Linked DNA regions of Macaca fascicularis. The protein of the gene in region 1 purifies or fractionates together with the protein of each later gene. This does not show direct contact. Links are inferred from orthologs where the notes say so. Each region holds a gene or a part of one and is shown on either strand. Other genes may lie near its edges.

Evidence for each region.
Region 2: the proteins of TOLLIP (region 1) and CSTF1 purify together in Homo sapiens (co-immunoprecipitation; 3 studies listed by BioGRID and IntAct, with this or other methods). This does not show direct contact. The link is inferred for Macaca fascicularis from reciprocal best matches to the Homo sapiens genes TOLLIP and CSTF1.

The regions. Positions count from the first base shown.
Region 1 is NC_088388.1:1,223,203-1,227,009, reverse strand, and holds part of TOLLIP (toll-interacting protein), read right to left. Parts: intron 3,163-3,807; coding exon 3,010-3,162; intron 1,454-3,009; coding exon 1,363-1,453; intron 1-1,362. UniProt on the Homo sapiens protein: Component of the signaling pathway of IL-1 and Toll-like receptors. Inhibits cell activation by microbial products. Recruits IRAK1 to the IL-1 receptor complex. Inhibits IRAK1 phosphorylation and kinase activity.
Region 2 is NC_088384.1:112,426,936-112,431,296, reverse strand, and holds the start of CSTF1 (cleavage stimulation factor subunit 1), read right to left. Parts: upstream 2,942-4,361; 5' UTR 2,766-2,941; intron 2,668-2,765; exon of another isoform or gene 2,591-2,667; intron 1-2,590. UniProt on the Homo sapiens protein: One of the multiple factors required for polyadenylation and 3'-end cleavage of mammalian pre-mRNAs. May be responsible for the interaction of CSTF with other factors to form a stable complex on the pre-mRNA.

The DNA.
Region 1 (3,807 bases):
CCCACCACCACACCCGGCTAATTTGTTTGTATTTTTAGTGGAGATGGGGTTTCACCGTGTTGGTCAGGATGGTCTCGATCTCCCGACCTCGTGATCTGCCTGCCTCAGTCTCCCACAGTGCTGGGATTACAGGCGTGAGCCGCCGCTCCTGGCCCAGGCTGGTGGTTTTCTAAGACACTGGACACCATAGAGGCCCTGCTCAGACACGGGCTCTGCTCTTTCCTCTGGAGAAAGGCAGCCCTGGCACCTGCGCAGGCGGCTTTACTTGGAAACAGAGTCTCGATGTGAGCAAGTGAGGGCAGGGCCATGCTGTTCTCATAAGCAGTTTCGTCAGAGAATGTCCTGAACACCAGTGGACAGACCAGAGTCTCCCAGCGCCGTCCCCTCCTTCCCACCACCAGGCTGGGTTTCAGGCCACATCAGGTGGGTCTAGGGCAAGGTCCTGACTCCCAAGGTGGCCTTTCTGCATCTGTACGGGATGCTGCCAGGACTGGGGTGCGGACCAGGCCTCTCCACTCCAGCTGGGCTGGACACCAGCACCGGCCTGACAGCACTCTCGCCTGCCAGCAGCTCTGTCCCACCCCAACCCCAAAGCAGCCCCTGAGCACAAGCAGCCGGGGCCTCACGCAGGCCCCGAGACCCTCCCCCAACACCACCACGCATCCCCAGCGCCCTGCCCGCAACTTGGCCACTTCCATGGCCTGGTCCCCCAGTGCAGAGGGACCCACGCTCTGCCAGACACCAGCTCCCCGGAATGAGAGGCCACCTTGGGTGGAGAACCAGGGTGGCCACAGGCTCCCCCCGAGCACCTCCTCAGGGGCTGCTGTCCCCCCGCCTGCTGAGGACGCTGGGCCCGTCCATGGTGGGGGCTGGCCTTGCACCAGCTGCTACGACAGCGACAGCTGGACCAAAAATGCAACAGCGTGAAAAGCGACATTCCCGCTTGGTGTTGCTGCAGCCACCGGCTGCTCACTCTTAACAGTGACACACGACAACGGCTGCAACAGCGCAGTGCAGAGCATGCATCGCCCGACAGGGGTGTGAGGTTCTCCTGCAGAGAGCTGGGCACGACGAGGTTTCAGTCACATTTCCACACCTCTGAAAATTTCAACTCATCTCATTTCTGCCAACAATTAGAAAAAAAACCAATTCTATTCTCTAGATATGCAAACAAAATTCAAACGTAATCCTTGGCTCCCTAGCCTAGAAGGATCTGCGTGCAGTCGGCACGTCTGCAGGATTCTAGAACGGATGGCGTCCCCCCACCGGCGCTCTAAGCCCTGTTCCCTTGTCCTGCGCCCGCCCTAGGCCCTGGGGTTTCTACCAGGGGGGAGGCACCCAGGGAGGAGGGAGCACACGCACCTGTGATGGGCACGTAGCCGACGCCCTGCTGGTACACCGTCGGCATCAGGACCACAGGCTGGGGTGGCATCACCATGGCAGCTGGCAGCAGCTGGAACACAGCGGAGATGGTCCCGGGGTCAGGAAGGAACATCTACCCATCAGAACCTCAGGAATCGCCCTCCCCATGCTAGCCCCGAACCCAGCTGTGAGCCCTGAGTGCACAGGGGACGCCGGGGCCCACTCCCACCCCCGCACCACCTCCTCACGTCCAGGAGGTGACATGGCTCAGGCTTACAGACCCCCCGCACCACCTCCTCACGTCCAGGAGGTGACATGGCTCAGGCTTACAGACCCCCCGCGCCACCTCCTCACGTCCAGGAGGTGACATGGCTCAGGCTTACAGACCCCCCGCGCCACCTCCTCACGTCCAGGAGGTGACATGGCTCAGGCTTACAGACCCCCCGCGCCACCTCCTCACGTCCAGGAGGTGACATGGCTCAGGCTTACAGACCCCCCGCTAACTGGGATGTGACGGAGAGACGATGGTGTCAGGAGGGACATCCCAGTGTAGGTGTCAAGGGGGCCTGGGGGGAACCACACTGCACAGCTGTGGTGTCTGAGTTTAAAACTGTCAACTTGAGATAAGTCACTGCACTGCTGTCGTCTCTGAGTTGAAAACTGTCACCTGCAGGTAAAGTCACTGGGGCGTCATGACGGTTCTGCGTATGAAAGCATCGGTTAAAGCTGCGTCCTGAGACATTTACACGTGGTCACTCATGGCTGGGACTTGCTTTAAAATATCCCGGCGTTAACAAAAAGGGAGTGGGAGGAGCCAAGATGGCCCAGAAGAGCGGCTCCCTGCTGCGCCCTCTCCACTGTCACATGGGCCTTGCATTTCCCACAGCACCATTTTTCAGCAACAACCTAAAAATTCCCTGAGTGATAATACAGAGAATCCCTGAGTGATAATACAGAGAATCCCTGAGTGATAACACAGAGAAGACGGTAGGAGTTCTGCGTCCTGGAGCCTCTAACTGGCCCTCCCGATGCCCCCAGGAGCTGCAGGTGTCCTGAGGATATAGACAGCTGGGAGCCAGGGCAGCTGACGTGCTGGCCCCACGGCCAGGCCTCGACTTCCTGACCCCGAGCGCGGCAGCCCCCAGGCTTCCCCCACATCTCCAGAGATGCCCTTCCACACCCTGGCCAGTGCCTGCCCTGTTGGGAGGAGCCTGGTGTCCCATAGGGCCCAGGGCTGCATCTCAGACCCTGGAGGGCTGCTCAGCTGGACCCTAAGGGCAGAGCTTGGAAGGGCTGTGAGGGACCTCCGAGGACACAGGGGCCTGCAGTGGAGACCACCACAAAGGGTGGGCCCATCTTAGGAACACAAACAACCCCGATGCTCTTTCCCCAGACAGAATCGATGGGCAGGAGCAGTGGGCGGGGCAGCTCCTCTCTGCCACCAAACCACCCAGGGCCCCTTCCCTCTGTCCTCAGAACGCTGAGCCCTGCTGTTTGACGGACTCAGTGCCTCCAGGAAAGAGACCAGGGTGTCTGCGGGGTGGCACAGCCCCGATGTGTCCCAACATACCCTGACCCGCCCCACCCCAAGGCCTCTGACGCGTCCCGCCCCTCCCCGATGCCCCTGATACCAGGCCGGCAGCTCACCGCGTAGGACATGACGAGGTTGATCATGCCCTCCTTGTCGTCCCCCTGCCTCCCGCTCAGGCTGTACCACTTGTCCTCCACCTTGCCTTGCCTCAGGGACTCGGGGATGGTGATGTGGGTCCACGCGATGCGGTCGTCCATGGAGAAGGCTCTCTGGGGGAGAAGAGGGAGATGCCTCAGGCATTAGGGAAGGGGCCGCCCTTTCCCTGCGGTCGCACCATCATGGGCCCGTCTCGAGTTCCCATCTCATCGGTGGAACAAGGCTCCCACCTGCACCCACACCCCATCAATGAGACCCCTCAGGCAGCACGGGCTTCACGGTCGTTTATCAACGATCCTTCCCTCTCTCCACCAGGATAGGCCAGGGCCAGGGCTAGGTCTGGGGCTGGGGAAAGTGAGGGTCCTGGGCTGCTATCCTCCTCCAGTTCCAATTCAGGGACACTAGTTGCTCCTCCCCAGCCCTCCGGGCCCCATCCTTGCTCCACCGGCTGCCACCTCCCAAGCCCCAGAGCAGCCGGGGCACAGGCTGGAGAGGACATGGGGTCTGCCTCCCACAGCTGCCTCTGTACTTCCCATGCGCTCTCCACTCTTCTGAGGGCCAGGGAGGGGAAAGCAGGTCGGGATGGGGAGAGAAAAGCCAGGAGGAAAAGGCAGGGCCCAGGCAGGGAGGACTGGCCATTTGCTGGCCTGGCTGCCCCACAATGCTCCCTAGCCCCCAACCGTGCTCTAGCCTCCCAATGGCACAGGTGCGAGGTGCCGGGACCACGCGGAGCAGCAGCCTTGCCACATCCCCCTCTG
Region 2 (4,361 bases), on another chromosome or scaffold:
ATCGACTTTTCTTCCCCCACCAAACTACCTACCTATGATTTTTGTTCTTTATTGCTATCCCAGAATCTTCCATTTCTTTTGTTAATTAAACATTGACTAGCACCTGCAACATGCAAGATAGCTGCTGTTTTGTCAAGGCCTAGACTGCTGGTTCCACTAGCTGAGCTGTATGTTTACTAATATCTTTTATGTTCATTCTCAAAACCTGTTTTAAGGCAACTGAGCTTGTGACTGTAATTCTATAATCTAATTCGACAGTAAATGAAAATATGAAGGAAAAAAAGCAACTGTACTATAAAAACTCAACAGAGTTAAATGCGTTAGAAAGGCTCGAAGGTGAGCTGCCCAATAAAATCCTGCCAATCAAGGTCAAAACAATAAAAATGAAAAACACAGTAAAAATCTGGAAGGACTGTGCATGCACTGATTTACAAGTGTCTAAGTTTTCCTTTAGTCTTAAGAGACAAAAAAAACTGTAAATGGTTTCTGGCTTATTCAAAAAAGAACTCCAACTGTTGAACATGATAATCTGCTTACTAAAAATCAATGCCTTTATGTATGTGTATGTTTGAACCAATATTAAAAGGCTACAGGTGTCTGGGGACAGCAATAAAGAATAAAAGCGACCTCAGAGCCTGATTTCTTTTTTCTTTTTTTTCTTTTTGAGATGGAGTCTCGTTCTGTCGCCCAGGCTGGAGGGCAGTGGCCCAGTCTCGGCTCACTGCAACCTCTGCCTCCCAGGTTCAAGCTATTCTCCTGCCTCAGCCTCCCAAGTAGCTGGGACTACAGGCACGTGCCACCACGCCTGGCTAATTTTCGTATTTTTAGTAGAGACGGGGTTTCACAATATTGGCCAGGCTGGTCTTGAACTCCTGACCTTGTGATCTGCCTGCCTCAGCCTCCCAAAGTGCTGGAATTATGGGCATGAGCCACTGCGCCTGGCCCAGAGTCTATTTCTTATACACTGTACGACACTGATGGTGTTAATAATAACCAACAACATTAAGCACTTCCTGCATGCCAGATACAGTCATGCTAAGTACTTTGTAAGCATCAGTTCACTGAATAAAATCATTCAATGTATTCAAGTATCTGAAGTAGTACATGAACATAATAAGTCTATGCTTGAGTAGAAAATCCTGGGACACAATAAAGATGATGAAATGGGTTCAAGGAGGTCAGAACACCTACTCAAGGTAAAAAGTGGCTGAGTTACTTATCCAAGGTTAAAAGCACACCAGAATTGCCAACTCCAGAGCCCTGAGCTTAACCACTGAAGGAGTTCAGGAAATGCCAGCCCAAAGCAAGATGCTTTGGCGGGCTGATTACTTTGAACTGAGGGCACTTGGAGAACAGCAGGCGGGAAGAGGCTTTCCCTGTGCTTTCCTTACCTGCCTAAAGTCTGACCCTCCAAAAATACCTCAATTGTCACGAATCCTTATTAACCAGGGAAGATTCACTTAGATCATAGGAACCAGGGAAGATTAACTCCGATCACGAGAGGAGATTAGAGGTTGACACCACCCAGAGGATCACCTATTCTGTCTGCATTAACAAACTTGATTCACCATACATTTCCTCCGTTCACCCTCCCAAAACTTGTGTTACAGCTGCTGCTTACCATCCTCCCACCCGCCCCCAACCCTCTATTCATTCCTTTCAGTAGCTCAGGATGCCATGTAAGCTTTAATCATCTGACTTCAACTTCTTAGTCTCGTATTTTGTGGGACTCCTGTACATAATTAAATATCGTTTTTCTCCTATGGACAATGTTTAGTGACCCGAAAAAAATGGGAGATTCTTAAGTACCAACAAAGAATGAAAATCACAAGTGGGTAGTCTGGCAAAGAAAAGTTGATGAGAGATTCTACTGTTAATGTCGTGCTAATATGACTTGAATAATTTCCGTATGCCAGTTCAATGCTTTACATGCACATCCTGTTTACCCTGCAGTAATCTGTTAATTTGTCTTATGGTAATTTAACTCTTAGTCTTAATAAGGTACCTAGAAGGATGGAGGGAAGCCATTTTTGGCTCCCCTACACCACTATTCTATCCGGTCTCTTCACTTCTGAGCACATGTCGGGTGTACAAATATATATATACACACACACACATTTGTGTGTATATATGTATACATGTATGTGTATATATATATGTGTGTGTATATATATATTTTATGGTGGCCCAGTCCTAACTTCTCAACTCCCACAGAACGTTCACTCGCCAGGTAAACAGAAGCCTAATTATCCCCAATTTGCAGGTGAGCACACGGAGACACGAGGACAAGAACCCGATCCAGGACCGGTTACATCGCAGTTGGAAAGGCTAGAACACAGACGCCCCCTCACTATATGCGCCGCGACCATCTGGATGCAGAGGCGAACTAAGGACTGGGTGGGAATGGAAGCGAGGCCCTTTGAGGAAGAGGAGGGGGTGCAGGCCAAGCCGGGCAACTTAGGAAGCACAAAGTAGAGGCGCATGCCATCTTGCTAACTCTGGACTCTTCCGGTCTCGCCCCAGTTGTTTCTGTGGTTTTCGCTAAACGCCCCAGCCGACCGCACCAGCCACTCTCCCCGTGCCCCAGTACCAGCTGGTCCGGTTCTCTCGGTATCCCGCTCTCTCCTGGAAAAATGGAGGCGCGAATCCTGCCCAATCGACCGCTCCGAGCGCACATTCACTGCGCACGCTGAAAGGGCGCCAAGCCGACCGCTGCGCTATCGATCGGTCGCACTCTCGCTTGCTTTTCTCGCCATCTTACTTACTGGCACGTTCAAAAGGTTAGTTCACCCCCTCGGACTTTATCTCCAATGCGACAAGCTTGACGTCAAGGGGCTGCTGCCTCACCGATAAATGGCCGACCCCGGAGAGTACCCTGGGGCTGGCACTGCCACGGGTCTGGCTGGCCGTTGGCTCCGCCACTTCCGGGGTCTCAAGGAGCAAGTGCGCCTGCGCGCGGTGTGCGCCTTAAACGCGACTCAAGGCGTCGGGTTTGTTGTCAACCAATCACAAGGCAGCCTCGCTCGAGTGCAGGCCAATCGGCTTTCTGGCTAGAGGGTTTAACTCCTATTTAAAAAGAAGAACCTTTGAATTCTAACGGCTGAGCTCTTGGAAGACTCGGGTCCTTGGGTCGCAGGTGGGAGCCGACGGGTGGGTAGACCGTGGGGGATATCTCAGTGGCGACGAGGGCGGCGGGGACAAGGGGCGGCCGGCCGGAGTGGCGGAGCGTCAAGTCCCCTCTCGGTTCCTTCGTCCCTGGGTGTCCTTGGCGCTACCCTGTGCCCGCCCAGTGCCTTTGCATCCGCTCTTGGGCACCGAGGCGCCCTGTAAGACACTGCTTGTTACTTATTACAGCTAGAGGTAGAAGGGGTTTGTTGAATGGTGTTGACACGCGCGGGAGGGGTGGGTGAGCGTCAGATTGGATTTTGTTCTCGGAGATCACCTGGGTAAGAAAAGCACAGAAGGTCGCTGCTGTGTTGGAGTTCACGTTCTAGTGGGTAGGGAGTCAGACGGTAAGCGTACAGAGAACTTGCAACTGGGGTGGGTGTTATAAGGGAAAAGCAGGAGTGCGGTTTAACGGGGGCCGCTTTAGACAGAATAGCCTAGGAAGGCCCTTGTCCTGGCTGGATGAGTGGGTGAATTTATGAATGAGAACCTCCTTGCAGAGGCCTTCCCGGTCCGTACTTCTCAGACCGTAGACCTTGAAGTAGTTATATCGGGATAACTTGGAGAGCCTTGTTAAAAATATAGCTCCACCGAGAGCCCGGAAAATCAGAATCTCTGAGGGATAGGACCCAGGTGTCTAGTTATTAGCAAACTCTCCAGATGATTCTTTGATTTCATTGAGAACTAGGGATGCAGACCGGTGCATGCAAATCGTCTGGGGATGTTAAAATGCAGAATCTGTTTTCCTAGACCTGGGGTTGGGCCTCAGAGTCTCCATTTCTAAGATCCCTCCGGCTGAGGTAGACGTAGCCACTGTCGTTAACTCGTAATGTCTCTTCCTCTTCCTTAACCTTCCTTGTCCCTTGAATTAAACGTTTTTCAGCAACCTACTCAATTCGTCCTTCCCTTCATCTCTGCAGACATGCACAGGTCTGAAGGAGGAAGGAATAAACCCGTATAAACCTCCTGTGCTATTAGCCTAACAGCTTTTCTATTCACAGTGGTAGGATTTCTGGTGTGAACTGAATAGATCCTGTGAAAGTCATCTGGTTGCAGATTAGAGTCACCTGAAGGGCAGTCTTATTGGCGTTGTCTCCAGAATTCTGGATTAGAATCTTATTCCATTCTGCTTGTTACTCAATTTCCCTAGAAAGAAAAGTAGAATAAATTGGAGCAAATGCCTGTAGCTTCTGTCA